Lepisosteus oculatus: one gene and its partners. The protein of the gene in region 2 purifies or fractionates together with the protein of the main gene of each other region. This does not show direct contact. Links are inferred from orthologs where the notes say so. Each region holds a gene or a part of one and is shown on either strand. Other genes may lie near its edges.

Region 1 (7,140 bases), on a different chromosome or scaffold from region 2:
CTTCCATTTGTGTAGACCAAAATACAAGCCAAAACATGGGAATGCTGTGAAGCAAAATCTAATCCCTCAAGGAAACTAAACTGTGTATTAACTTTAACAAGCCAGATTCACAGCCCAGTTCTCAATCTGACTGAAGCAGGGCTGTTTGAATGCATCAATGCCTTTGAATCCAATTACAACTGGCATATATACAACTTTTCAAATTAGTTTTGGTTCCTTAAGCTTGGACAACAGGCAGTTCAGGGTCATACAAATCTTTGAATGCTCTGGATTCTACTAGCCAAAAGGCTGAGCTACTGTATTTACCACGTACAAAACAAGCTTGCAAAACCAGTAACGGTTTTAACCTTCCTTCCCCCCCACTCCCCACTCAACTCCATGAGAACATGAATAATTACTCTTTTAACTATATTTAGATTTTATTTTTTTATTTTCATTTTCATGCAAACAGAACAGTCTACAGATGCTTATGACTCACGTATTACTTTATTTGCTAAAGCAGCATCATATGTCAACTTGACTGAAACCCGAGTTTTACTCTCACTACTGAACACCAGCAAGCTGGAAATGGAAGACAAATAAACACACTGCCAAAGTGTGTATGTAACCGTCTAGCCACTCTTTAAGAAAAACGAAAAGGTACTCGGTCAATGACATCAAACAGAACGAGAACTGGGAAACAGTCCTACGTAAATCCTTGCAAAGCTCCAGCAGAACAGTAGCTAGTCCTAGTCTTGAAGATCCACTGGGTTAACGTCTGTGTTTATCCATGTCTTTAATAATTCAACTGGCTCAATTAAAGAGCTTAAATGGTAATAACCACTGTTGCACTGTAACTAGTGATTTAGAACCTGAACTTCCCACCCTGGTCCAGGAGAGCTATAAGGTAAAAACAAAAAATATATATTGTCTAATCTGGTCAAATTTCACCAAACTGGGATTGTTCTTCAATAGTCAAACACAGCTATAGAACCTGAAGGCCTGGTGCCATACAAGACTTAAATTGTAGAACTCCAGTGGCTTGAAATCTTGTATGTGCACAACATATCAAATATAGGCGATATGGACAGAGGCAGGTTAAGTTATGTATACCGATAAATTAATGACTTCTTCAGTAATAGCTAAGGGTATTTTCAAAAAACGTTTTCAAAAAGCAAAATGGCCTAAAGTCTGTCTAAACCACATAAATAATAGGGCTTAACACTGCACCAACCTGTTATAACAAATAATTCTTCACTACTCTTGAACACTTCAAAAACTGGAGATAAATTTATAGGGATCGGACTACAAGGTTTGATAACTCAACTCCACACGAAAAAATCTGGAGAAATTAATTCTAAGAAAACACTGTACAACACAACTGGTTTCTGCAAAACAGTTTTAAAACGCTCAGATTTCATTTCAGTACACTATTCCTTCAGCTGCTGTGCTATGAGCTTCGGGGCGTCGATTTCGGCACATTGTCATGCAAATCTGATAGCTTAATTTCATCCGCGCATCGACTGTGCAAGGAAATCCTGTTTCACCGGTCACAAGCCCCAATTCCATTAGAAAGAATCCCGCAACGCATCTCAATGTTTTAATTCTCTTCCATTACCACAGGTGACAGCAAGCAGCCCCCAATTAAAACCAAAGCTGTTATCAAAAGGGAGCAGGAACTTTTTACCACCACTGGAGTCATATCTGAAGCACATCAAAGACCAGTGGCACGACGCGTCTAAACACACGTTTGCGGTAAAACAAAAACTGCTTTCTGTTCACTTGAAAATCTGGGACATAGCACATGTGGTTTGTTTCTCCAGACAATTATTCCATGAGCGACACCTTAAAAGGCGTGCAGGCCTACAGGTTATATTTTCCCGTTTCTTTCGTTCACAGAGATTATTACAATTAATAACAATAGCACTACAGTGGTTTACAGGGCAAGCCTGTCGTGACAACATCAAAGTCTTTGTGTCTGTTCCCATCACACGCTGGTGACACCGAAATATCACAACAGCAACACCCGTCCTTTTTTAGGTCTTTCAAACCACAGTTCGATTCGTGCTAACAATATACCTTTTACGTCAAGGTGTTTAAGGTGAAACGTAAACAAAGAAGGTTTATTTTACATTTCGTTAATGACAAGGCACCCCGAAACCCGATACTTCAAAAGGCACGGATTAGGCGTTTCTTTTATCTCCTAACTCCTGTCACAAAACATTCAACTACACAGTTAGCTACAAGACAACAGAAAACAGCTAACCAGTAGCATGTCAATTGTAAATAAGCCTGGGTTCAGGCAACGTGTTTATGAGTTCAGCTGCATTTCAAAGAGTCAAAATATGCATTTCTCAAAAAGAACCCTGCTTCTAAACAATCATTTACCATATGCTAATATGTACACACGTAAATAGTGCGTTTTTCCTTGCAATCAAAGTAGAAAAAAATGCCGGACTGTGGAAGCGAGAAGGCCTTGGCTGTGCCCCATCGGTGGACAGGGTCAGTGTCCGACGTGTCGAGAGACCTATTATCATTAAGGCCGAGAAGTACAAACACAGCGACTCGACTCCAGCTCAGGACATTTGCCGACCAGGGAATATCAATTCACCGCTACTCCACATCGGACTGCACATGAATTTGCCACTGTGAATCTCGCTTTGCCGTGTAGCTTTCTACTCAGGCCCGTCAGGCGTGCTACTGACTTTTCGATCTCTTTCCCTCCTGATTTTTTTTTCTACCTTGTCAGGAAATCACTCTTAACAATACACATTCCTGACAGCGCGGCTCTCTCTGACCTGCGCCATCTTTGACAAGAGTCTTTCGGGGCAGACGAGTCTTGAAACAAAAGAGCAACAGCGGGCATGAGAACCCCGCGCCAGACTCAATCCGAAGAAAAGAAATATCCAAATTGAGGATTTTTAAAAAGGAGCACCACACCCCCTCTCTCGCTTACCTTCGGTCTCCTGTACTCCAGTCCCTAAGAGCAGGACTACGAATGTTAAACAACAACGAACTGCATCCATTGTGTTTCAGATTTACTCCAGACTGGCCGTCTCTCGCACACAACTTCGGCTGTCTTGGCTGGGGGAAATCGCGTCCCTGATTGGCTGGCAAGGACGCCGCACCCCGCCCAGCTCTTACCAGCCAACACACATAGCGGAGCCGCAAGTCAACACTCGGCTGCGAGCGCCTAGCGCAGTGTGCTAGGGCGCGGACAAGTGATATAGGCATTATATTAATTCGGGCTACAGCTAAGCAACATGAACGTTAAACCTGTCTGGGAAACGTAGGCTGTACATTGTTCAGAATTACTGTTTTATTTTTGATTAAGCAGGCTACGCACTTAGGTCTAATATCTTATGAGAATTTACTTCCTTAGATAAGCATAGCATTTTGCACGTATTCTCTCTATATCATGCATGTCACTGTGCTTGGTCATGGTTCCCCCAGCTGGCCTCATGATTCACCGTACAGCTCTCTGAGCCCCGTTCCACTGTTTACTCCTTCACTGCTTCTACCGTGAAAGTGCACAGCAAAATCGTAAAAGAAAAACATTCCCTCTCAAGTAATGACGTTTTCTTAACAGTCAGTAAAGGAATTAATAACGTATATCATTAAAACGGATAGGGGTCAGATAGGTCTTCCAGTTAAAATGTACACTTTCAAAAATGTAATTTGCTCTCCGGTTTTATTCACTTAGAAACGCAGGTTGGCAAAATATTTGAGTCCCGTAAGAGTAATCACTTAATCTTTACCAGTAAACTAGACCTGACTTATTTATTAAATATACTGCTGCAAAAAAACGATGTCTGTATCTGGTAAACAGAAGTGCTGAAATTACTTCTTCATCCATATCTGCTTAATTGTAAAGAGGATGCGATTATCCATTTAGTGAAAGGAATAAATTCCCATTAGAGACGTCCTCTACCAGACCATTATTCCTCGTTTATAAAAGTTCTGTATGATCGCGTGTATCCTTTAAATTCACGTTGTTTGATTTAGCAGTAGTAGTTACACCGTTGACACTGTGCTGTAGCCGTTTTGTTATTTGGCCAAAAAGAAGATGAGCGATTCTGACTCACCAGGGAAGGCCTACAGTCCAAGATATTGAGACCAAGTAATCAGAATACTCTGCTTTGTCAAACATACTGTAGGTGCCTAACTTGTAGACTTGTAAACCAGATTGCAAACATTTCTTACGTAGGCATTGTGGTAGAAGTAGTGACCCAAAAACTAATTAAAAACACACGGTTTCGTCTTACAGGGACTTGAGTCTGCAATTTCATGCAGATTCTTTATAAAAGATACACATTTAACGCCTGCTGTTGTCTTTATGACTACATGTACAAACTTTTTAAAAGTCTTTTATTTAAACCATGTTGCCAGTGCCAATTGAAGTGACCTCTTTTATGATCTGCCAAAGATATGTTCTATCTTTAATGTGCATTAACAGGTGTATTGTCAGCATTACTATGTATGCCTCTGAAATTTAAATCCAAGTTCAAAGATAAGGTCAGAACTGAGATTAAAATATTTTCTGTTTGATTAATTAAATTGATTGATTAAAATTGGCGACAAGCTGTTGGGTGTCATAACAGAATCTTAACAAGCAGGTGGGTCAAGGCAAACAGACACAGCTGTAAGGTACAAGACACCAGTGAGCTTTATTTCATGATGTAGGGAAAATCAAAAACAACAAAACAAAAGCCTAAGCACTTTTTTGAGCTTCTTTCTAAACTTCTTCTCAGTGTCCCTAATTACCCAAGCCAAGGAGTTAAACTGCTTAAGAGCCTCAAACAAAAAAATGTTAAAACAGTCTCACTGAGACTCTTCATAAAATTGCCAAATTAGAAAAGTCTCTCTGAGACTCTTTACCATTTAAGGATTTCATTTCATAAAGAATGTTGACAATACTCTTAGAACTCACTAGTTCCTTGAGTCCATGGCCTGTCTTTCTCCCTCCTGTCAATAGCTCACAGAGGATCTGCCTTCTGGCCTTCAGACGGCAGACATCCCTGTCTAACTGACCCAGGAAGCTTCTTCTTCGTGCTTTTTAAACAGTCACCTGACCAATTGTTTTTCAGCAACTGGCTAGGTGATGGAGAGCAGCAGCTCATGTGGTCCCAACAGGAGGACCCCATATGCTCCCTCCTCATAAGGAAGGCCATTGGACGACAGATTACCAGCCAATTCCAAGGCTACATCCCCCTGGATTTTGAAGTGAATGGGGAGGGTGGGAGGGACATACTTTCTTTCCCCTGGATCATGTACCCTATGGTTTTCCAGCTCTTGTTCTTCAAGAGGCAGCCATCTCTCTTGGTAGCTCCACATGTACTCTCCCATCCGGGTACTCAAAAGTCTTCAATACCCCTTTCATTGGGGGTTGCAACCGTTGTTCTTCCATTTCAATTAGTTGTCGGTCAGGCGACCTCTCCCTCTCTTCTAGCGCAGGTCTATGGTTCTCTAGCAACTCTGTTTCTTTCTCTGTTGGACGATCTGGAAGTTCCACGTCTTCTGCTTTATTTGGCTGCCTGTCCTCAGGTTCAAGCCACTTTCACTTGTTCTCTCACAGTCATCATCAGGACACAGGACATCTACATGTACTTCTGAACGTTCCACCCAAAGAGACCTCCGTATCAATCTCTAGCACTGGTGATGAGAGCTCCTTCTCCCTCACCTCTGAAACTTAGTAGCTTCTTTGTCCAATGGGTGACACCCTCTGTCTTGGACTGGCAATTCTCTGAAAAAGGCTTGTCTTTTTCCTCATACTTGCCCATTCATTCATGTGGCTTGTAAATGTCCCTGCGGTATCTTGACTCTCTCCCTCTCCTGGATCAGTTACTCCTGAGTGGTCTTCGGCTCTACTCTGGCTTGATTCGGGTAAGACTGTAACCTCCCTTCAAATCTCCACTGCTTCTCTGTCCTTCATCTATTGCTATGATTTACTTAGTTGCTGCTGCATTAATGCTAACTGCACCCTTGGCTTCTCATTTTCTAATTTGGCCGTTTCAATCTGGCTCTGAAAGTCATCCATCTTTGCCCACCACACCTGCTTCTGTTGTTAGTTTTGTGAAAAAGGTTTAGGGCCTCCTCTTTTCCAGCTCATTGTTTAGCTGTTATGCATGCTGCTCAGCCTTTCTCCTTGCCATGCTGCTCTGCTTCTCTTACAGTTCCTCCATTGGAGGCTTTGGCTTCCAAATGCCACTTCACATCTGCCAGTGCTGAGTTTCCCAAAATGTTGCTGGCCAGCTCTCCAGCCTGTTTTTACTTGTCAGCCTCAATCTGCTTGCATGCTTGCTCTGCTGCTGTCAGGTCCTCCTGTAACTGCATTAGCTCAGCCTCTAGGCTCTTGGCCTTCTCCTCGCTCTCCTTGACTGCGGTCAGCACTTTCTCCCCGACAATGCGGGCATCTCCCATCTCCCTTTGGAAGTCCTTCATCTGGGCCTGGAGCTTGTGCACCTGTTTTGATAGCCTTGTCCTGATCATGATTTGCAGTCTTTATGTGACACTTGACTTCTTTGAAGTCTCCCTCCAGCTTTTTCCCTGCGACAGCTGCCATGTCTCTCTGCTTCCACTCATCCTCCAGCTTGGTCTCAAGATCATGCACCTGTTTGACAAAGACCAGCAGTTGCCTGTCTGATTTGGGCTTGAAGGCTTTCTATCCCAGGCTCCCTGTCCTTCAGTCTAGTCTGGAGTTTGGTGAGGGAAGTCATCTCTTGCCTGGCTTTTTCTGGTCTCTCCTGGAGGTTGTCGTTACCGCTCAGAGTTGCCCTTATCCCTTCAGTTACTTCATCTCACACTCAATGTAAGGTACAGAACAGACAGCAAACAGCCATCTATGTTTTCAGTATTCTTGCTGCTGTTTAGGCCGCAGGGCCTCACGTTTCTCTTTTAGCACATTAGTCCGCTTACTGCACTCTTGAAGCAGCATTCAAATCCACCATTTTCTTCTTACTCTTATTCTGGGTTATATCCCAATCCACAGCCAGGGAGTTCTTCCCCTCAGGTCCTATCTGGATCACTCTTCTCTTAGCCTTTTTCTTCTCTTCAGTGCTCAGTAGGACCTCGGGCTTTGCCATCATCTGGTCAATACGCTTGTTTTGCAGCTCTCCTCTCAAAGACTGCATCAATTGTTTTCTCTTCCCCTCATGAGAGCAG
Region 2 (8,047 bases):
GGTTTAAATTACCCGGCTGGCTAACCAGGGCTGAAATGGAATCATGCTGGTTTCCAAAGGGAAGACTCCTCCCCTTCCCAGCACCCAGAGCTCCTTCGCTGCGGGCCATGAGATCCCCTTGGGATCGCTTCCTCCAGAAGCGAGGGGGTCCGCAGGAAACAACCACGCTGCAGGACCCCCAGACAAGCAGGTGACCTCTGGGCTTGTCCTCCCTGCCCTAGAGGCCATGTCAGAGTCTTACCAGTCCATCAGCAGAACCACCCCGGAACACGTCCCGGCCAAGAAAGCCAAGAGGACCTAAACCCACCCCCAAATAAATCAACCGTTCACTCCCGATATCATTCAGCAATAAAACAATCACGCTCTATCGCCTACCCGTTTACACGAAAATGTAAAATGAAATAGTCCTTCTGAAGCAGAGGATCTCTGGAGCGCATGGAACTCATTTTAAAACTCGGCCTCCCTTACGTCAGGGATCAAGAATGTTTTTTTTTTCACGTTCGTAACCTTGTGCAATACCTTCTTTGGCATCGAAAAATCGAAAACTATATTCTATTAATAAACCGTCGAACTAAAGCGGTAGCTAAGGAAACACTGGTCCCCTTTGGAAAAACAAAAATAACTGAATCAAGTAGACAATTCACAGCGACCAGCCTCATGCCTGGGAGAGACCTCCACAGACGAGTCTGCTGAAGTTCGTCTTGCAACAGATCTACCAGAATAAACTTTTTCTGTCTTTATCCCGACTCGACTAAGCCAAGCGCGTATATACACTTCTTTTAAAAAAATCGTTACAACGTACAGACGTTTCAGTTTATTTAAAAAGAGAAAAAAGTACTTCCAAAGTACGACAAAATCTAACACTTTCGTTTTGTCGATACTGTTTTTTGTACTTATTTGGCAAAACATGGTACTGTCGGTAAACTGTTTTTTTTTTTTAGAGTTTAGAGAATTTAGAGAAACTATTAGGAATTTGCAGGCAACGTTTCTTATTGACTTCGGAGTCGCCGAGACCGCCTCACTTTGCGTCTTCACAAGAAGACGTCCTTGTTCAAAAGCAAACAGATGTTTTCGAAATGAGCACGACGTGAATACTTTTCAAACTCAGCTGTGTTTGAAGCCCGGATTGCTTCGCTTGAAGACATTAAATCAGCGGTAATGGCATATTAAACTGGGACATCAGTAACACATTTCGTCTGTAATAACCACACCCCCCTAACAACCACTGAAACACGTAGATATTATGGAACCATTGCGAAACGGGACCAGAAACATCAGTCTCCATCTCCAGCACCTACAAACTTCTCAAAGATACATAGAAGCCACCCATCCATAAAGTTATTTGTTTTAAAAGCTGATCTCCGAGGGTGAACAGGGATAGTTCTACTCTGCATACTAGCAGTAGGAACGAACTACTACAAATAAGCGTTTCAGAAAACTGCATTAAAACCTTTGAACTTAACTGAACTTTCTTAATTTAAAAAAAAATAACATTGGAAAAACGATGAGGGCAAACACCTCCACATCTTAAACGATGTTATTTAGGAAGCGTTTAATCGTCGTTAATTTTCTTTAAACAAAGCACGACGTGCGGACGGAAACAAACAGTATTTTTTAAAAAGTCGTTATCAAGTTTAAGCTTATATTTTTTCAGTTTCTATTTGACTTCTAAGGCCACGCAAGAGCGAAACCTTAAAACTTAACAACTTTAAGTTTTTTTTAATCCAGAGAAGATTCCCCCCCCCCCTCCCAAAAAAAATAGGAACAGACCACACTTCCAGAAATGTAATTAAAAAAGCTGTTCTCCAGGAATTACTTTCAAGCAAAACAATTCTTACACCTAGGGCTCTCTTCAGTTTTAGAACCGATCGGTTTCAACACAAATTAGCCGGACAACAAATGCACTTCCCTCCTTCCTCGGCTATTTACAAAACTGCATATAAAACATTTTTTAAAAAACAGGGCTCCATTCTGGACGTTTTTAATGCAAAAAAAAACCCCGAAGCGCGTCACACGATTCGATGATTAAAAAGGCAGAGTACCCGGGCGAACAAACTTGCTGGCGCACGGCGCACACCGCTCGGGTCCGGACGGGTTCCCCGGGTTTATTTCAAAGCAGGAGCAGCAACAGTCACGACCAGGCACACGACAACGGCTAGCACTCTCCAGGGCAGCTCACCGCCGCCCTCCTCCCCTGCAAGAGCCGCCGTGTCTCAGCGCTCAGTGGGCAACTTGAGCCCCTGGGCCACGGCGGACAGCACACGGTCGGCTCCGTTTCGCCCACAACACAGGAACGCAAAACTCCCCCTTTCACACGGACACGTCCAGGCTGGGGACAGGGGCGCAGAGCCCAGGCGCTCCCGACCTTCTTGTTTTCTTGCCATTTATTTTTCCTCTAAAAAAAAAAAACGGGGGGGGCCACCTACCTGTCAAACGCAGTTTCACGGGGCCGTTCCTCCTCACCCCCTGGTTAGACATGTCCTTCGCCGCTTTCCAGCTTGAGTTGCGACGCTAGAAAATATTTACAAAGTATCTCTCTTTTTTTTTTCCTCCCCTCCGCCACCCCCCTCCAACCTCCCTCCTCCTCTCCTCTCCTCTCTTGCTCGCCAGCTTCACAGTGGCTGAATAATGGAGTCACGGCCCGGTGGCCCGGATGTGCGTCGCGCTACCATTATTTCACCAGCGCCGACACGCGCGCCCCCCACTCTCACGCGGACAGGAATGCACCCCCTCTCGCGCGCGGCGTCCTCGCGAAATGTTCCCTGCCTCCCCCGAAAGACACAGGTTCACCCCCCCCAATGCCGCCGCGTCCTGTTTGCAGAATAAAAGCAGCAGCAATAATAATAATAATAATAATAAAAAAGGCGAGCCACGTTCGAGCGCACTTTTCTCTTCCTACATCTCCGGGAAAGACGGACGCACTAGGACGTCGGCGGCACTCTGCACTCTTTCCCACCGGGATCGGTTTTGGAGTGAGAGTGGAAATGGAGTGTGTGCGCGTCCGCGCAAGACGCTGGGAAGAAAAAAAAATAAAAAAAAAGCTCTTCCCAGTCAGCTCCCCCAGACGGCTCTCCTCCTCCGCAAGACGGCTCTCTGCTGACCTCTCCAGACAGACGCCGGCAGCTCTTGCGAAATTACAGAGACGTGCATCGGGTCCCGCGACTGTGCAAACGCGATTTTTCTTTTTAAAATAAGCCGAAAACGAACGTCCCGCAGCCCCCTGCATCGGGCTCCCCGTCATCCTACACGATGCACACGTATCGGTGATGGCGCACGCTGGTGTAGCTGCATTCGCGGTTAACTTCAATTGTGTAGCTGCACAATCATCTTCCATCCAATCCAGAAGTTCCGTGATGTTCAATAGCATCAAGTTCAAGTTTATTGTCATTATACTCGTACACTGGTATATGAACAAGTAATAGGTTTATTCCATGCTGAAAAAAAGAAGAAAGAGAACACAACGTTTCGGCCGTGGAGCCTTCTTCAGGTGAACTGTACCCACCTGAACTACCCACCTGAACTACTACCACTGGTATATGATATAACGAGATGCTATTTAGCTAGCTCTCAGTCGGTAAGTAGTACAAAAAACAACAACAATACAATTGTATGAGAAAAGAAAGACAGAGACAACAGGCAGTGTGCAAAACACCAACAGGTGTGCAAAATCATACATCAACAGAATGAAATAAAGGATAGGAAATTATGGGGAGTGAACTTCTTGACGTGAGGTAGAGGTAGATTTCAATGTGTGTTTGGGATTTGATGAAGAGGGAAGGCACTGTGAGGGTTCAGATTGTAGGTGAGAGTGGCTGGGAGTTTAATAGTTTGATAGTGCGGGGGTAAAAACTGTCTCTGAGGTTGGTAGTCCGGTCCGAATGCTCCGGTACTGTTTTCCAGATGGTAGAGGGTCAAACAGTCTGTAGCTGGAGTGTGTGGGGTCTTTGATAATGTTAGAGCTTTCCTCAAGCACCGTCTGTCATAAATGTCCTGTATGGATGGGAGAGCAACCCCAGTGATGGACTGGGCAGTTTTCACCACCCACTGTAGGGCTTTGTGGTCAGCAATACTGCAGTTGCCATACCACACTGTGAAGCAACCTGTCAGTGGGGCTTTCTGTAGTGCATCTGTAAAAGTCAGGGAGGATCTGGGGAGATGTCTTAGCCTTCTTCAACCGCTCACCACTAGAAATCAGTTGCTCATACGGCTGACCATAACAAGAGGGGGAAAAAAAGAACTTGGTTTGCAACACCAACAGGATATGTCTCTTAAAATGTAGTGTACAGGAGCAAACATCAATAACACGCTGAAACACTGAAGGAAAAAAAAACGTTTCCGTGGACACCCTAAGGCTGAAGAAATGCCACACGTCGTAGAGTTAACTGCTACCTGCTCACTCCAACCTCTCTACCGCATGTGGGACGTCCTGTTCCCTTAAACTGATTTCAGGAATCCTGCCTCCAGCTCCCCCTGCAAGCACACCTCAGTCCGGTCGGGTCCAGTTCCTTGTATTCAACACCTTGGAGACCCATTTTCTCCATCAGTGAAGTGCAGCAACACCTCCAGGTGTGTCATCCTTGCTCCAGTGGCAGCCCAGCTACACAACAGGGCAGGCAGGCACTTCACCAGTTAAATTAAGGGGAGACGAAGGCTAGCAGGCACCATACAATCAAAACACCAGTTCACACCCTGTAGCTCTTAACAGCACCCTGGGCCTTTCGGTGACCAGGTTAAAACTCACTGAAGGGACTAACACAGCAGTCCCTGCTCAAACTGGGGTACTACTTCAGAAATTCCAGGGCAGACAGGAGAGCACGTATTGATCTCCAAAAAACATTTAGAGTAAGAGAGGCCAGGCCAGGCCCAGCCTTGCTTTTCATACAAAACCAGAGTTCTGAGCAGACAATTTACAGTAGTCTGGTGCAAGAATTCCCCTGGATCTTTCAGATATCCTACAGAAACCGCTTCCCTGTGCATAGACTAACCATTGGAAAAACCCCTCAACTGTGGTTCGAGTAGGCAGATGTGTAGACCGCAAGAGAACCAGAAGGCTCCACAGCCAAGACGTTTTCATTATGGAATAAACGTTTACCTGTTCCTTAATCCAGGTTGTCAAAATAGCTCACAAACATGAAACTGGATGCATTTAGTCTCATTCAATTTACCCGTCCAGAAATCACCATCAACCGTGAAGTGTTATCCTTCAGGGATAATGAAGGACTTCAGCAGAAACCAGAACTTGTCCCTTGTGGACTTCAGAGCCAAGAGCTCAGGGTGCAGCTTCATTGTGAAGATCAAAGGCACAGATTGCAGACGAGTGGAAACATCAGTCCTTCTAAGCTGCATTGATAGACACTTTTGAAAGACGTATCTAATAAACTTTATTTACATTTCATACAATAAAGGTTTGACAGTCACATCAGTAACCTGTTATATACATCATGGAAAACACTGCTACACATATAAAAAAGACAGACAGCATAAAAAAAACTCTAGAAGTTGAAAGTGCTTTCAGCATCTTGGACCTGGAAGGCATAACCATCAGTCGTAGCTTCAGGAACAACACACTGGTCTTCCTCTTCCTGTGGCAGAGGAGAGAGAGAGATGAGTACAAGCTGGTCTGACCCATGCATGTTCTGAAGTAGTGAACAAGGCACCTCTCATTCTCCCAGTGAACCTCGAGCTCGTCGTCACAAGTCGAGCCACACCAGCCCACAAGGCTTGTGCAACTGGCACCTCTTCAGACAAGCATCGCATTTCAAACACCAGTAGTATAAATTCCACCAGACCCCCCCCAAAAAAACCCAAAACTTGTATATTATGCTCACCTCTCCAGAGAAGTATTTATCGATCAGGTGTAGGGCAGCCTTGTAGACCATCTCGTTCTCATGGGACTGCAGGGCTTCAATCTTATCCAGGCCTCCATACTCCTCGATCATCACGGCCAGCTTCTCCACCTCCCCCAGCTTCTCGCCAGCCTTCAGGACAAGCCCACACACCGCTGGTTAAGAGTGGCAGTAACAGGGGGCACCAAAGAGCAATGGGAGCAGCACTCAACACCATCGCCAAGCATGAGCAAAGATCGCAATCTGCCCCTTGGTGACCACCTGGCTTGCACTACTCCCCACATGCACATCACTAAACAAATCAAGATCAGGGGACATCAGTCGTACCACTTCAGAGGCAGGTCCAAAGCTCAGCACGTACCAGGAAGATGTTCGAGATGGCATCCAGGATCACAAGGAGAGTTTTGCTGTCCTTGGTGGACAGAAGGTTCAGCAGGGGCTCCAGCACGTTGGACTGAACCAGGTACACCACCTGTTCCACTGTCCCCCCGCTGGTGTAGTTGGTTATAGCCCAGACAGCCTCCTTCTGCGCCTTGTAGTCACCCTGGGTGGGGTAAACAGGATAAGAAAAACGCAGATTTACATTTTAAAATGATACCTAAAAAGTAAAAAAAAAAGACTGCCCTATAGTTGTGGACAAAGGTTTTGCATTTCAAGATTTAGCAGAGCTTTTGGCCAAAGCTGTTAACCCCCCCAAAATATAATCTCCTTCAGAGCCAACAAAGAACCCCAGAACACCAGCTTACTCTTGAATGACTTGGGGCAAGGGCACTCTTGGATGACTTGGGGCAAAACTTTGGCTAGTTTTGTTCAAGAAAGCAATCTAGTCATTCTAATCTGGTGCTGGGTCCATGGTTCTTGGTACAAACAGCTGAGCAGGTGAACAGGTCAGAGTAGCTACAACAGAACCCAGACAACTGGACCTCAAGAGGGAAGCCCCAACACAGGGAGGGGCAGCACCGACCCACCTTCTGGAGCACCTCCACCAGGTACGGGATCAGCCCGGCGTTCACAACCTCCTGGATCTGGGTGTCGCGCCCGGCGGTGATGTTAGACAGGGTCCAGGCGGCCTCTTTCTGGATGTTGCTCTTGTGGTGCCTCAGCAGGGCTGGGAACATGGCCAGAGCTCCGGAGTCCAGCACTATCTGGGTCTGCTCATCCGTGCCGGTCACTATATTGCCGATTGACCTCAGTGAGGGAGTCTGGAGGGAAGGGGGTAGATAAGCTTTACAATTCAAGCAGACCTTCAGTTACCAAGTAAGCAAGGGACAGATCCCCATCGGTACATTTACCAACCACTGTGCAAGATGCATGCACCAGTTAACCCCTGTAATACCACCACAAGAGATCAAGAACACAAGCTACCAGAACAGTTCAGTTGTCTTTACAGCAGTCGCAAGGACATTCACATAAATCTGCAAGAACCTTAAATGCAAAAAAAAAACCCCAAAACTTAAAAACAGGAGGAGCCATCTTTAAACCCACTGTGTTGCCCTGTGCCCTTGAGATGACAGTTGTTTTTAACAAGGCCCACAGTCTAAAGCAATGGCTTTCAAAGTGTGGTCCGCAGACCACCAGTGGTTCGGGAGCTGACCTAATCTCTTAAAGCAAGCCTAAGCTCTTAAAGTCGGAGGAAAGAATGGTGTAGTGTCCACTACAAAGGGGCTCCCCCTAGGAGCACTGTTAAGAACTGCAAGCTATAGTAGGAGGTTCAAGGGGTTTCACCAGCCATTCCGATTGCTCAAGAAAAGCAGCTCAGTTTTTCCCCACATTAACTGTAATAACCACTTGCAAAATATACAGCTTTGTTTGTAAAAATTTGTACTTTTCATAAAAAGTAATTGGTTATTTTTTGTACATTCCTAGGTGATTTTTACAGGGTAAGAAGGGGACATAGGCATACATGGTCCACTGCATCTGTGACTTAGTGTAAGTGGTCCGCGGACCACAGGCCTTTGAGAACCACTGGTCTAAAGGAATACAAGCCGTCCCGAGTCCGTGGGGGACGAACGAAGACGAGACGTACCACAATCGGAAGCTCTCCGGAGCCGAGCAGCTGGACCAGGCGGGACACCAGCCCGGTCCGCACCACCACCTCGATCCGGTCGTTGGGCCCATCGGTCAGGTAGGACACGGCCCAGCAGGTGTCGGCCAGCACCTCCCGGTCGTCATGGTGCAGCAGGCGCACCAGCGTGGGCAGC
Region 3 (8,033 bases), on a different chromosome or scaffold from region 2:
CTGATTTGCACCCAAGTCAATCTTGTGAAAGAGTAAAGCGTGCATTCAATGGTGCCATTCTGAATATCTCAGCAGGAGGGCAGATGTATTGTACACATTGTATGGCTCTGTGAAAACACACAAAGCTAAGATAGGTGTTCCTTTGCCACAGGCCTTCACATGCAGTACATTGCAGATCACGACGTTTCACCGGTTCGCACACTGTAGCTTCCAATAGAACATTTTTTCCCCTCTGCTGTCTAAAGCACTTTATTTACAGAGATTTACTCTTTCATTACTTAACCTTCTTATCACCTTTTGTGAAATAAACATACCACTGCTCTTGAAATTATGTGTTATTGCTTGGATCCTCCGAGGCCTGAGAGGCAAAATATTTTCTCCGTACATGACTGTTTTGCAATCTATACAGCTTTTGACAGGAAATTCCTACACCTCTCATATTTTCAACATTAGGTCATTAGATTATTAGTCCTCTGTAACATACACAGTACTCAGCACTATTAAAACCACATGAGAAGTAATAATGACAGATTTAGTGAAAGAACAATAAATAGAAAATTATATGCAGCAAGAAATATTACTAATCCAATTTGATGCTCATGTTAATTGCAAGCACATTCCAGCTTTAAAAGGATAGGTTTACAGACATGGATATAATAGCAGTTTATCTATCTGGGATCTGTCATCTTTCAAAAGAAACTGACATTTCGTCTCACACAACTCTTTCTGATAAAGCTTGTTTTTCCCCCACACTTTCTCTACTTGCAAACTTACTCCATACCAACACAATTTTCTCCCTCAAAATGCACAAGGTATATCAGAAAAATGCACTGTATTTGCTGACTTCATGTGGTCTATTGCTTTGGCACAGGGGTACACTAGTTCAGCACTGTAGCCCTGGGATCAATTCTGGACCTGGGCTGCTGCCTGAGAGTAGTTTCTGGATGTTCTCCCTGTGTTTAAGTGAGTTTCCTCGGGGTGCTCTTATCCAAAGACATACCAGGAGGTTAACTGGCTTCTGTAAAAAACTGACCCTGGTTTAAGTGTGCGTGTGTTTTTGTCTGTATGTGCCCTGTGATGGACTGGCATCCCATCCAGGGTGTATCCTGCCTTACTCCCTAACTTGCTGGGATAGACTCAGGATCCCAAGTGACCCCGTATTGGATAAAGAGGTTAGAAAATGGATGTATGGACCACTAATGTATAAATGTAAAATTCATTACAAAACCAAACAGGTAAGTGGGACTCTGTCTGCACAGCAAGAATTTATTTGGAAAACTCTGCAACTTCAAGTGGTGTTTTCAATACTGAGAGAGGAAAAAAAAAACTTGTTCCAAGACCGAACTGCGTTGCAGTGTTAGGCCGAGGTGCAAAACATACTTGGCTACCCCCACACAAAATCGCTTCAGGCACTTGTGCAAAAAGTTGCTGCATACTGCACCTATCCTGACGCCACTAAGTTTTACAGTACAGTTTGTTAATCCACGACTGGTGTTTTCACGCTGCCTGTTTTAAGGCGCTTTAAGTGCTCATCATATTTATATAAACAATCGAATAACTGATCACTCACAGTACAAAACAACGGGTTTGCTGTAAAAGAAGAATGTAAAGGAGATAGCTCTTCCTCTGAGACTACACTGACAACCGTATACAGTACATTCATCTACACACACTCCGGAGTAAGGGCCTTCAACTTTAAAACCCAGCAACACCACTTTCATCCGGATATAACTCACTGTATGGCAAAAAAGGAGCACGCTATTCGATATCATATCTAAACTGAACAAATGCAATTAGCGTTTACATGGGAGAGAAATTCCGACAAGTGAAAAAGAAAAACTGAACTTCCCCCAAACAGTTACAGCACTTTCATTACCAGCGGATAACTGGCAAGGTGCTCAGATACATTTCAGAAACACCACCATTTCCCAAATGTACGTTACTATATTTCTGTATATAAGCACAAATCATTAACTGCTACAGCAGATAAAGAAATCTACAATGTGCAATACAGTTTCCGTATGGGCAAAAAAAAAACATGGTAGTATTAACCTTGAAGATTGATAGTCTGGTGGCTGCAAGATCATTTTGAAAAGAAAAAGAAAGATACAGTACGTAGTACTCCAACACACGTTTACAGGTATAACAACAGAAGACACCCCCAAAATATGATTTCTCATTTTTGGGGGGGTCGTCTGCCCTTTCACAGTTCAACCACCTGTGGCGCATATCCGTACGCATTGCTGTTAGTTTTTAACCTCAAAAAACTTTTCAGCCTTCAAAAGCAAAAGACATAAGGAAATAACGCGTATACTGTACTTCTGCAACAACGAGCCCCCTGCGATAGAAGAAACGTTTTATTTATTTATTTGCTGCTTTCTCAAACAGACCCGGCAGCTTGTGGACAACAATTAAAAAAAAAACGAACTCGACTGGACTGGCTAAAATATATTTTTTTATAAAAAGGGGTAAAGAAATTGGTGAAGTTCAAGGGTGAATAAAACCTTCAACAAGACTCACCCGTCCGGCCGAAGAGCACAGAGCTGGCGAACAGGGTAGTGCTCCACAGCACGACTGATAAACGAAGTCGGTTCATTTAGACAAACACCGATACCTTTCCTTGACTTTTCATTAAAATGTTTCTTTTTTGCTCTCTCTTCCCTTGCCCTTCAAAAGCGGAGAGGAAATGTTCCCCCCGTCCTCCCAATTGAAGGTTTCAACGTTGTGCGCTTCTGTTGCAAAGTGGGGAAAGAAAAGTCGAAGAAAACAACTCTTCTTTTTTTTTTTGGAGAAAAAAAATGTTGGTCTCAAACTCTGTGCGCCTGCCTTCAGCTATGAAAATACTCTAAACCCCGGGTTATGAGTCAGAGAGTGACTGTATTCACTTCTTTCGCGAAACAGGAAATCTTTGAGAGAAGGGCAGGACTAATTTTTTTTTTCTCCCGAAGCTGTCAGTCCCTTAGAAGTTGTAGTTTACTCTCCTTCAAGTCGAGGCAAGCGCCTAATGACACGCTTAAGACAGATACACACAAAACATCGGTTTCCAAAGGACGCATTTCTAGACGGACGGTATGCTCCAATTTAAAAGAAAATTAAGCACATAAAAATCACATTGATTTTTTTTTTAAAACGGTGCGCTTAAGGCAGTGCCCTACAGGGAAACAACTTTTCAGCTATTGCAGTTTTAACTTGTTTAACGTCCTCCGTACAAGTAATAGGTGTCTCCCGATGAGTCCTGTGGTTAGTTACCAGAGATCTTCCTCACAGGACTTAAAAACAAGGTTAAAATCCCAGGGCAGGTTGGGGTTTTCATATATTCTTCGAATATTTTTCTGTTAAGTAGCAGTTTATCTGCAAGATAGTGGTGAAAATGCACTTCCTGGGGGAGGTGGAGACATGTAATTAAGGTATTTTTTATTTTACTTGTTATTATCTCACGTGTTGTCGGTAAAAAGAGCGACACTGCGTTTCACCTTGGAATTAGGGATATACACACAATGTTTTTTGTCTGGACAAAAGTTTCTGAGTGGAGGCAAAGTTCCTGAAAACCTAAACAAAATGATTAAAAAGACATGTGGCGTGTTAAGAGCACTACTGACAACCGTTTGAAGCCTATGGGAAAAGTATTGTTCACTCAAGTCCCTTGAAATGCGAGTCTTTTTTGACTCACACTCATCCTACAGGAATGCTCTCTGATACATTTTAAAATCTAAACGGAAAAACAAAAGGAGATTGTTTATAAACAACAATGGGGAACAAAGTGGCATCTAGAATATTCACATATTGGCGAAAAAAATGGAAACTGATTTCCCTCTGCTCATTAAATGCATAGCAATGAAGGATGGGATCATTTTTACAGACACACAGGATTGAAAAATTATTTTGGGGGTTTATACACTTGTATATAAATGGTTAGCATGCTTTTGTGATGCTTTCCTCCTGTTGAACATAACCACTTTTAGTACGTATGAGGGTGTCTTAATACTTTATCGCTGAATGGAGGGATCATTTTTAGTAACTCTATAGAAAAGGAAGTCAAAACCACTGTAAAATAATAAGAAATGTATGCAAGACATTTACTGTAATACTACAGTACATGATAGCAGAAGAGTCGGTGGATTCTTTCACACATACTGTATCACATAATCTGATTTTATGGGAAAAGATTGAATTCCTGTGTGTAGCTCAACATTTTTAAATGCTTATTAATTGCTACAGTATGAAGAGGTTCTATGTTTAAGTACGGTCCTTTGTACTAAGAGATACCTACCTCCTTAATTTCAATCTGTGTCTACTTCACTCTGTGCTTCAAAGTAATCATCTGTTTTGGTATTTGTCAACCTCTTTGGAACAGCTCATTCAATTCTGCCTGGCCCCATGTTCCCTTTTTTACAGCCCTTGCTGAATACACCCATATTTTGGTTTTCAGTTAATTCCAGGATATTAGAATTTATTGTTAAAGGACAGTCACAACACATGGTACCTAATGAAAGTGAAGAGGGCCTTCACAGCGTGCATTTGGAACAGAAACACTACTGATTGCTTAGAAAGATGAAGCAATCCTTTCTTTTCGTCTGCAGGATAGCTCCAACAGCACACCCAAACATTAACAGTAGCCCGTCCTTGCTGCACGGCCAAGACAAATGAACATATTTCATGTGCTGGTTTTTATACTGTCAGTTTTAAGACCTGAATTCTTTCATCCATTCTGCAAAGCAGGCTCTAGCAGAACTGTGTCAGAATGAGAACAGGGTGCTGCAAAGGGTGTCTTCAGCTAAAGCAAATAGCAGGGGTCCTGTGAAAGCAATGAGATTTATTCATCTTTGTGTTTTGATGTACAGTACATCCCTATTACACTGTGCATTTTCCTTGTGTTAGCACGTGATGTTTATTTTTAAAACCGGGAACGGCGGACAAAAATATATTATGCTGCTTTTACGGCTAAGTGTGGTTCTCCCTCTGCAACGCTGCAATTAAACTAGCTGCCAAGACGATGTATATTATTTTATCCTCAAATGTTTACTGTACGTTCGCCGTTTCCGGGATACCGACGTAACAAGTTTTGACAACTCTAGGTAACACAAAGGTCCAGTGTGTCTGAGAAGCAAGTTCAGACAGAGCTACTTCTTGTTCTTCTCATCTCAGTTAAAGCCATGCTGGAGATTTTTTTTTACTGTGCTGGTAGTTGCACGTGTTTAATAACATTCTTTTGCTTGCCATGTGACGAAGGCCTATTAGTCTCCTATAGTGTTTTAAAGAGTTTAATATCATTACTGTATGAAAGTAAGGTAGGCATTATCAGTACACACATACTGTACATATCCACTCCTATGCAGCCTATACATATCTAAAAAATATACAGATAACAGTATGATGCATTATGAAAAGATTCACGTTTTGTAAGGCTACAATTTGATGATTTTTAAACTTCATATTTTTAACCCCCTTGTATATGTTCCAAAACCTTTTCAAAGAAAAGCATTTAAACAATGTGTGGAATCCTGAAACAGTTTTGCACACGATTGTGGGTGCTTGTTATTCAGCAGGATAATAAGCCAGATCAGACTAGAAGGCTAATATCTGTCCATTAAATTAATCCATATAAAGTAAACCCATTGAATGAGGAATTCACAGTAATATTTTAATAGCCTGAAGAGTAAACACTGCTGGTGGGCGGGGTGGCCTTTCCGATACTGCCAAATTTCCCACTTTCATGAAAAAAGGAAGCTACTCTCACAGCAAAGCTCATTTAAGTCATTTACAGCTCATTCAAAATGTGACCTTTGTGAAGTCCCCCTGCCAGAAAAGTCTAGTAGTAAAATACAGTACGTCTACTGTAAAAGTTAGTTGGTTACTGTTTGACTCAACCAAAATTATTTTGTGGGCAAAAAAATTTAATATAATCTTAATAATAGGTTAATTCTTGTTTTGCAGATTCTTGTTTTTGCACGTTCACTGTGTGTGAAGTGGTTATGATTGTAGTGTTTCAGTCGTCCATTATATGGTTTACTGACATAGTATAGAATAATTGATAAAAGAATGGATTCTGAATCAATGCACTCTGGAATTCTGTGTATCCATATACGTAAACACCCCACACATTGGACTAGAGTTATTACCTGTCCTTCCCGTAAGGAGACTCTGGATCATCTTCGTGCCTTCAGTCTGAAAGAGAAAAGGGTGGATGTTTATACGAAACCACATCAGGTGCTTAGAAATATATTAACAGAAAATGAGCAGTAGTCACCACTTACAAAGTAGGAATTATTCTCAAGTATAGAAGGTTGTCAGACGTCGCACTGAGAGCCTACACAAGTTTCCCTCTGACAGGCATGAGTGAGTTAAAGGACCCTTGTTGGATTGTCCCGTCCTTGTCCTCCACCCAGCAGGGACCAACTGGGAAGTACTTTCAGGACAGTGGGCTACAGGTGCAGAATGTGTTTTGAGACATCCCAGAAGTGGTGGGCCTGTGGCTAAGGATCTGTGCCTGCTGCTGGAAGGTTGCTGGTTCAAATCCTGTGGCCGGCAGAGGAATCCTTCTCTGTTGGGCCCCTGAGCAAGGCTCTTACCCCCAACTGCTCCAGGGGTGCTGTATAAATGGCTGTCCCTGTGCTCTGACCCCAAGCTTCTCTCTCCCTGTCTGTGTGTCTCACAGAGAGCAAGGTGGGGTATGTGAAAAGACAAATTCCTTATGCAAGAAATTGTATATGGCTTATAGTAATCTTATCTTATCTACAGTAAGTGTTCAAGAAGGATGGGATTAAAGTGTATTTGAAGGCCAGCTCTCCATTGTGATTTTTATGCCCCTGTTGTTATACATGTATTATACTATGTGAAGATTCCTTGATTTTAAATTATGTGCTTTAAAGTAAATAGGGTAAAGTTGCTAACATATTGTGCCCCTTTATGTAGAACTGGTATTTCAATTGGAGCAATTTGGAGAAGTACCTGTCGTGCACTGCCTAACAAGGCTTGGAACCCAAATCCATCCAGTAAGGAGTCCAGAATCTTAATCGCTTCTCCAGTGCAATTCTGTGTTACAGTACTACACTGTCAGCTGGCACACCAGTTTGCCTTTTCAATGGATTCCCCATGTTTTTTAGACCCGGATGATGCTACTAACGCCTTTTTTTATCTGTGGCACCAGTGCTAGGCTACATGATCATAGCTTTCTATGCCACTGCATCATCAATACCACAAATGATACGTAAGCAGAACACAGCTCAAAAATACTGAAGCCCAGGTGCTTTTTACATGCTCATGTTACAGATTATGTGGAGGAATTTTCCAAACATATTGGAAAGTCCCTTGGCAGCCAAGCAGACCGCTACTAAGACTATAAGAACATGTAATAGGAAACAAGAAAGAAAAACCTACAGCCTTGGAAATATATACAGTATAATGTATGCAATAACACTTGCATATTTCACTTCAAATAAACAAGTAATTATGAAACATTTCAAAGAACAAGAGGCTGTTTATAGACATCCTCTTTTTGTTGTATCTAGCAATAGCAACTTACTCCCACACACCTGCACTGAGTTCATCTGATCCGAGCTCCCTGTGACTCATTAGTTTATGAAGCTTGTGGAGATGTATAGACTGTGGAATGAGCAAAAGGAGTGACATACCAGCAGGCTTAAGTCATAGAACCAGGGAGCCTTTCAGTTGTTCTGAGGTTTAGCTCAGGCATCAGTAGGGTAGTTCAAAGTGGAGCTTCAACACAAATGGTACACAGCTTCCTGCAAATAATGTTCTGCTTGCACAAAAGCATATGATATGGAAGTTATTAAGCGAAGTTCGGGAGGGATAACACGGACAAGTCAGTCTCATGCAGCTGTACCTAATCGCAATCATTATGAAATTAGCCATGTATACTAATCTTGAATGCCTCCCTTCGTATTCATCTCAAGCCTGCCTGTTCCAGACCATTTCCACCTCACAGCAGCTCCTGGGTCACTCCTTCTGAAAGGGCTCTGAGCCTCCTCGTCCTGTGGCCAGCAGGCGGCCAATTAGGCCATTAACCTAGCACG
Region 4 (7,152 bases), on a different chromosome or scaffold from region 2:
TAATTCACAAATTACTCGCCTTGTGCTTGAGGTCACAGTGATAAGCTGCACTGACGGAGAATCGACAATTATTAATGCCCTCTACTACTGGAGGTGAACAACCCAACTGGGTATTAATACACAGAGGAAGTCACTGAGTCAAGGATGAATCACTGTGCTTAGCACAGGCCGCCTCATTCTCACTCGTTCACACACAGAGGAGCTGGTAAACAGAAACACGTGGCAGAAGGATATTGCTTAATGCCACAGTTTGACAAAATAAAAAACACAGTTACACTGAAGCAAAAGTAAGATACTCCTCTTCACTAGAAGACCCAAACAGAACTCTGACACACGGAGAGTCAAGTCAGAGTTCCTATGCTCAGCACATGCACATGAGCAGTGCTACAAAAAACCAAAAAGAATGTTTCATAAACCAGGAGCAGTTTTTTTTTCTACATCTTACTGTTCATCTGCTAGAATTGTTACTTTGCCTTGTACTCTATTTCAATAGACTCCAAGTATCACTGTGTTGTCCTATTTAATTGAACTACATAATTACATTTTTGACCATGAAAAACAGAAGGACTGTACATTTTCCATCAGTCACATTGGTTAACACGTCTGCAGCACAATATTCTTTACCACAAAACTCAGAGAAAAAATTCTACTCTAAAAAGTTCTCATTCATTACCAAGGATCAGGAATAGAATTAATGTAACCACAGCGATGACTAAGGAAAATGCTGAAACCATGCCTTGATAGCAAGTACAAAATAAGATCTAAAAACTGTAAAACCATAACAAAAAAAAACATTATACACAACAATTAAATCAATGAAAATAAAAACAGAAATTCCAGGTAGTAACCAGAAGACTGAGTTCACCCGATGTTGACAAATCATGCCACGAAGACCCTGCCCCATTCACATATGCACAAAGATCAAAACTCCAGTTTCCAGCACGCAGATTCTTCCCAAATCTGCCCTTGAAAAAAGATTTACACACCCATCCCACAATTTCTACCCAAGACCTTCCAGTAAGGCTTATAAACAAGCAGTGTGGGCAGATATGCACAGGCAGGGACTGCAGACGTTCAACAAATCCTGCTCTGAGGAGAAATACTGAAGGTTTAACAAAAACAGAAGGATGTACGTCCTACAAAAGCCACCGGACAGCAAGTTACTAAAAAACAAAAACATCATGGGAACACGGGGTGACATTTTAACACTTCCTTTATGATGTAAAGTGTTGGCCAGTAAATTACAGAAAATTGACAAGAATTAACTACTACTACTTAAAAAAAGATGCACTTCACCATTACAGCTGAAGAGTGTTAAATGCAGGCAATGTTAAATGAAGGCAAACGAAGTGGCACGAAATATTCAGCGCCTACTGGCTTATATGCATAAGTCACTGGCTTGTATAACGTGAAAGGGCTCGTAATGCTAGAAAACAGGAGTCATAACGTTGATTCCTAACAGCAGGGCACAGAGAAGCAAGCAGGACTTGCCTGCCCCAAGGAGTCCTCTCCAAAGCTCCCCACTTCGTCCCACTTGAGGCTTGGAAAGTGTGCTGAATTTGTCCTCTTTAAGTAAATGAGCTCAGTGAAGCAACCCTTCAGGTCACTAGACAGGCTTCAAAGCCACTTGGGGGAGAGTGTGGAAACGGGCTGAAATGTCTTGGTGTCTCTTACAAATGATTTGAACCAAGGCTACGACACCTCGTTTGTCACCCAAGGGTTAACACAAAATGAGCTGGGACTCGGAGTCCAAGTGTTGGACGACCCCAGCAGGGCCAGTCATTCGCTCTAGGTTTTTCTGGGACACGCGTAGCGCTATGAAACATCCTGAATTGTACAGCACGTCAAACTTGACCGCCGCCCGGTAGTCCACTACACGATTTGGAAGCACAACAGAGGTACGTCTGGAAAGATGTCACTCTCGGGAAGATCCTGCATTAACTGGGTACCTTTCCCTAAACTGCACCGAACGCGCAATTCAACTGTTAATTAAATAATAAGAGATGATCGATTTTTAACCGACAGCAGTACAGGAACAAGCTTCTGGACCTCGAAGTCTTGGAAACGGTCTGATCCCGCACGTCAAGACAGCACACGAGTGAACGCGGACCACAGCGCTCCGTGCGTGGGAAAAGCTGTACCCAGAGAAACAGCAGCTACGAGAATGCACAATATTACTTCCCCCATTTAAACCGGCTGGCAGGGAAAATACAACCCCTAAACTCGGCAAACGCGAGCGGGGTATCTCCTCGACACCGTGCACACATCCGAAGCCGGGACGCCCGCTTTTCAGGAGCGCAGCTGCAGAGAAAAGCGCAAGTGTGTGGAGCGATCTTACCGACGGAGAGGTGCGTTGAGTCAAACAGATCAAGACGCCACCCTCTTCAATCCCCCCAAAAAAACAACACACTCCCGGAGCTCAACCCCAGCTCTCCAACACCCTGACAGCGAGTCCCGTTTCCCGCAGGGGGCCGTGTGCAGCCGGACGCTATTCGGTGCGACACCCCGCCGCCCCAGCGGGCAGAAGCAGCGCCTCGGCACAGCCCGACCCCGCTACCCCGAAAACACCCCCGAGCCGCCTCGGCTCACAGCAGCGAGGGCCGCGCAACGCAGCCGGCACACGGCGGCCCCTCCACGGACGCTGTTGTGCCTCCAAACCCTTCTCCCTCTCGCCCCGGCCCGCCAGTGCCGAGAACAAAAACACAAACTTTTACTTTCCCCGCCGGCGGAGCGCCCTGCTCTCCTTTCTTCCACCACCCCTCCCCATACTCCTCTTCCCCGCCGGTCTGCGGGCCGCTCCGGCCCAGTCCCTCACCTTTCCAAGGGGAAGCGGGATCCGGTATCACCGGGGGTTTAGGAATCGTCGTGCGCCTTTGAACGGGACGGCGAGCAACAAAATAAAAAAACAAATCCACCCCTCTCACACGGAGCCTCCATCCGACCGCCTCCGCCGCTGGTGCTGCTGTATCAACATGGCGCACGGCGCCTGCGCACTGGGCGGCGGGGAGCGGCCTGGCGTGTGTGCGCAGTTCCAGCGCTGTTTGGCACCATCGGCGCCCACTCAGGACCCAGCAGAAAGGAGATGTGACTTCACGCCGATACCCGGGCCATGGCGCGTAACAGTCGCTCCCTTTCTTGGAGCGAGCTATGGGCAATGTGCAAAAACACACTTAGACACAACATGAGTGGGCACTGCGTGTTATGCGTGCTTCTTACTTCGCGATGTTTCACATACCTTCGTGATGTAAAATATCTAAAAATAAAAACAGCAGGTAAGGATAATTGTCAGAAGTAGATCCTGCATGATAAGCAGCATTCTTGCATAGAGTGCTGACATTCCGCTTTTATTAAATAAATGTGAATCTTTTAGATTTAATCAGATGAGAGAATGTAATTTTATAACTACACAAATTTTAACACTAGGCCTTAGGTTGCGTGATAAATTCTTCTAGTTACAGTGCAGGACTGTCAATTGTTTCTGTTATTTATATTGTAGCACTACATGCAGTCTTGAGCACCTGTATTTAGCCATGCCATCATTTTGTTTTCATCAAAACATTTCTTAAATTGGTTCCTCAAATCTGTCGTCTGCGTGCACCTTTCTCACCCAACACTACCATGACCTCTGATGTTGACTAACCTGACAGTAAGTCATATATAGTGGGCAATGAAATATCAAGGGATTCAGTGCCTCGGATTTGGGGTCTCATTGCTCTCAAGGACTTGCTGAATTCCAGGTTCTTCCCAGGGCCTGGAGATTTTTGTTCGAATCTGAGTAGTCAAAGAAACCACCAACCAAATTATCTTCTAAATTAGACCATTTTAAGAATGTTTCTTGAAGTCTTTAACAGACAAATGCACTGGCATTCACTTCATTAAAGCTCGCCCTCTAGTTTTTTAATGCAAGTCATTACCCCTTCATGTTTTCTGTATTTTTTTGTTTCAATGTTTTTTTCTGTTTAATGAAACTGAAAGCAGCCTTTTCTTGGAAGATCCTAGGGACTAGGATCTAGTTGGCAGTTTGGCCCCTTCAGCAGCAGTGAGATATACTGTAAATGTCATTAAAAGTCCAGCGGTGTTTATTCTTAAGCTTGACTTACAGTTAATGCCTATTCATGCTCCATGTGCCACTGCTGAGCTTGAAGTAAACCACAGGAAGTGACTTTATCAGTACACTTCAAGACCTCAAATACTTGGGTCAATCCCGCCTCTTCTTATCAAGACTGAAGAGACTCTGCTACTTTGATCTGTCAGAGAGAGACATGCTTTCAGTCAGGAACGATCCTAGTCATCACTCTATGAAGTCTTTCCAAGAAGCAGTTACCTTTTTCTGACACGATTACTGCAAAATCGAACACAGTATTCTAAATGTGCTAACATATCATTCACTTTTAACATTCTTTGATTTAAATGTGGATCTTTTCACTGTAAGATTCTGTTGACTACTTAACCCATATTATCAAAAGCAAGTCAGTAATGTGTCAATTTAATAATGTAATCACCCACCCTATATTGAATCCTAAAACTTCATGCTCAGTACCAGCCATGAGTTTTTTTTTCACTGCTGCAAAAAGACACCATGAAAAGTTTAGCTTGCAGTTTAGGCTGTCCAGAGTAGGATCTCCGTCTTTTTGCATATCCTCCTGGTACAATGTTTGCAAACCAGTTGTGAACCTCTGTTTGGCAATTGTATCAGAGATGAGATGATATAAAATGAAATATATAGGTATATATTTGATATATGATAAAAGAATGTTGATGTGTCAAGGTCCAAAATTGCTTTGTGTACTTATGTTGAGTAAGTGAAACAGTACCTTGTTTGGACCATCTAAAAATGGAGCTGAACTACAAAGAAAGGGTGCACATTTTCCAGTTTTTTTTTGCCTAAAAGTCTAACCTTTAGTGACTGGCAATCTAGAGATTTTGCAAGTTACTGCACAGTGCAGAAAATAAGGATTTCTTCCACAATTAGATTTTCTTCTCTCACACCCAAGGCGTTTTCTTTCTTCTCTTTTCAGCATGGAATAAGCCTATTACTTGTTCCTTTCTTCCACAATGCTGCTTTTCACTAAAGCCACATAATGTTTGATATTCTGCCTTCTGTTGCCATATAGTCAGAAGACAAGGGTTTCCTGACTATCAGAGTGTAATAGCATAAAAATGATTCTACTCACTTTACTGAGGTGGCATCTCGAACCCAAGCCAGTCCATTGCCTCGCCCACTAGCCTCCTCCATCGTATCCTGTCTCTCCAGGCATCTACATCAATATCCGCCTTACCGTTATCTTCTTTCACTGAGTCAAGCCAGCTTATTCTTGGTCTTCCTCGTGGCCTCTTTCCCTCAATACCCTCTTCTACTTCGTCTTTTATTAGGTCTTGATCTCATCTCATTACATGGCCATACCACTGTAGTATTGCAAATATTTTGATTCTAAAGGATCTCATAAAATAATAAGACAAAAATGCTGACTTGGCAGTAGTATTTTTTTACAGTAATAACTGAACAAAGAGGAAAACAGTGATTAAAGCATTTAAAGAAAACTGATGCATTTACTAAAGATAGAGAAAAATAAATTAACTTGGTTTTACAGTTCATGTCTTAGGACAAAATGAAAAACTAACATAATTTCATACAGACGGTAACTCCTCATATCTTTACACCAGGTGAGAAAAACAGATATCAAATGTATCTCTTATCATGTACATGCATGTTATGGAAAGAATTCATGTGCAATGTTTTTTTACACATTCTGAAGGAGTATTTCCATAATTCTCATATTTATAGGCCAAATCATGAGGCTTTGAGAAAACTCATGTCAAGGAAATACTGCATGAATGCCTCCCACAAGAGGAATGGAGTGCTTCTTTGTTTTTGAGCTAAGTTCAGTTCCCACTGAAATTCTCACTAAAGCTACCAATAGCGCTGTTACAAAAAGTCTTAAGAGTATTTGGGTCATGCATTTCAAGTTCTTTTCCTTTACAGATTTGTGAGCCATTGATTTTCGAACACAAAAATTTAGATTGTGTCGTTACTTGGTTGCTTGTTGAGAGAAGTGCCTGAGATATTTTAGAAGTTTAAAATATAAAATATAAAATAAAGTTTATTATTATTATTATTATTATAAGACATTTGTACTCATTCTTTTAACTGAATCAGAGCTTGGCTCACAGTTTGAACAGTGTATCTAGGCTAAGAGGCCACTAGGGCAGCAGAGGGGGATTAGGATGCTTTATATACTCAGTTTATGGCTGACTGTTTCAAAGCATATAATTATACTAATCCACCACATCTTCTTGCTGTGTCTCTGGAAGAAGCTCTCATTTTGCCTCAGGCTCTCCCATCTCAGACGCTCATATTGTCTTGGTTGTTTCTGCTGCCGGTGAACAACACCGTGAGTCACTAATGTGGGTGAAGGCTACATGGCATTCCACACTAAAAGGAGCCTTGTTCTCACAAGGGCACCCACTGGCAAAATCCATTTCAAACAGTTTAAGCTAGACCGTTTTTATTTTTAAAGTAAAAAAGGTTTCAAAGCAGGCCCACACACACCACATTGGTTCACCCACATTCATTTCAGCTTTTCACCGCGAAACACCATCGCTTTGCAGTTACACTTCCATTTAACATTAATGGGGGAAGACCTTAACTGTCAGCTTCAAGCTAGATATCGTCTTGAAGACCCTTTGCATTACCAAGGTGAGCTTGGTATTTCATCATAAAGAGAGAAAAGGAGCAGCAGCATTGGACCTGATAAACACGAGCACTGAAGGAACAAGAAAAGTAGCACTTATTAGAACAGATAAGACCCAGTTTAACCTCCACTGATATCAGATTCAGGTTTAGAGTACGATCAATTAAACTTTTATTGCATGAAATAGATCCACTTTTAAATACAAAATAAGTGCCCCATCCCACCATACTAAAATAACCACCCTCAAAATAATTCAGCGGAATCGCATGGTGCTCCCACTCTAGCATCTGTAGGACAGGGTCTGATGAGCCATGCCGACATACCGAGCACTGAGCAAGCCTGCTTTCCAGTGGACAGTGGTGATTGTACTGTCATGTTGTCTCCAAAGAAGGAGCAGGACACCAGGACCTCAGTCACTTTATGGCATCAAACCATTTTCTCTGGCATGCATTTTCTAAAA

What was found.
Region 1: the proteins of smurf2 (region 2) and tgfbr1b purify together in Homo sapiens (affinity purification with western blotting; 8 studies listed by BioGRID). This does not show direct contact. The link is inferred for Lepisosteus oculatus from reciprocal best matches to the Homo sapiens genes SMURF2 and TGFBR1.
Region 3: the proteins of smurf2 (region 2) and tgfbr2b purify together in Homo sapiens (affinity purification with western blotting; 3 studies listed by BioGRID). This does not show direct contact. The link is inferred for Lepisosteus oculatus from reciprocal best matches to the Homo sapiens genes SMURF2 and TGFBR2.
Region 4: the proteins of smurf2 (region 2) and smad4b purify together in Homo sapiens (affinity purification with western blotting; 3 studies listed by BioGRID). This does not show direct contact. The link is inferred for Lepisosteus oculatus from reciprocal best matches to the Homo sapiens genes SMURF2 and SMAD4.

Annotation. Positions count from the first base shown.
Region 1 is NC_090701.1:24,416,495-24,423,634, forward strand, and holds the start of tgfbr1b (TGF-beta receptor type-1b), read right to left. Parts: upstream 3,061-7,140; 5' UTR 3,006-3,060; coding exon 2,936-3,005; intron 1-2,935. UniProt on the Homo sapiens protein: Transmembrane serine/threonine kinase forming with the TGF-beta type II serine/threonine kinase receptor, TGFBR2, the non-promiscuous receptor for the TGF-beta cytokines TGFB1, TGFB2 and TGFB3.
Region 2 is NC_090704.1:45,615,615-45,623,661, forward strand, and holds the start of smurf2 (E3 ubiquitin-protein ligase SMURF2), read right to left. Parts: upstream 3,023-8,047; 5' UTR 2,479-3,022; coding exon 2,427-2,478; intron 1-2,426. Other genes in the region: kpna2 (importin subunit alpha-1), read right to left, coding at 5,493-5,582, 5,829-5,978, 6,208-6,390, 6,815-7,048, 7,873-8,047. UniProt on the Homo sapiens protein: E3 ubiquitin-protein ligase which accepts ubiquitin from an E2 ubiquitin-conjugating enzyme in the form of a thioester and then directly transfers the ubiquitin to targeted substrates.
Region 3 is NC_090705.1:41,081,821-41,089,853, reverse strand, and holds the start of tgfbr2b (TGF-beta receptor type-2), read right to left. Parts: upstream 3,068-8,033; 5' UTR 2,597-3,067; coding exon 2,521-2,596; intron 1-2,520. UniProt on the Homo sapiens protein: Transmembrane serine/threonine kinase forming with the TGF-beta type I serine/threonine kinase receptor, TGFBR1, the non-promiscuous receptor for the TGF-beta cytokines TGFB1, TGFB2 and TGFB3.
Region 4 is NC_090698.1:14,987,549-14,994,700, forward strand, and holds the start of smad4b (mothers against decapentaplegic homolog 4), read right to left. Parts: upstream 3,002-7,152; 5' UTR 2,816-3,001; intron 1-2,815. UniProt on the Homo sapiens protein: In muscle physiology, plays a central role in the balance between atrophy and hypertrophy. When recruited by MSTN, promotes atrophy response via phosphorylated SMAD2/4.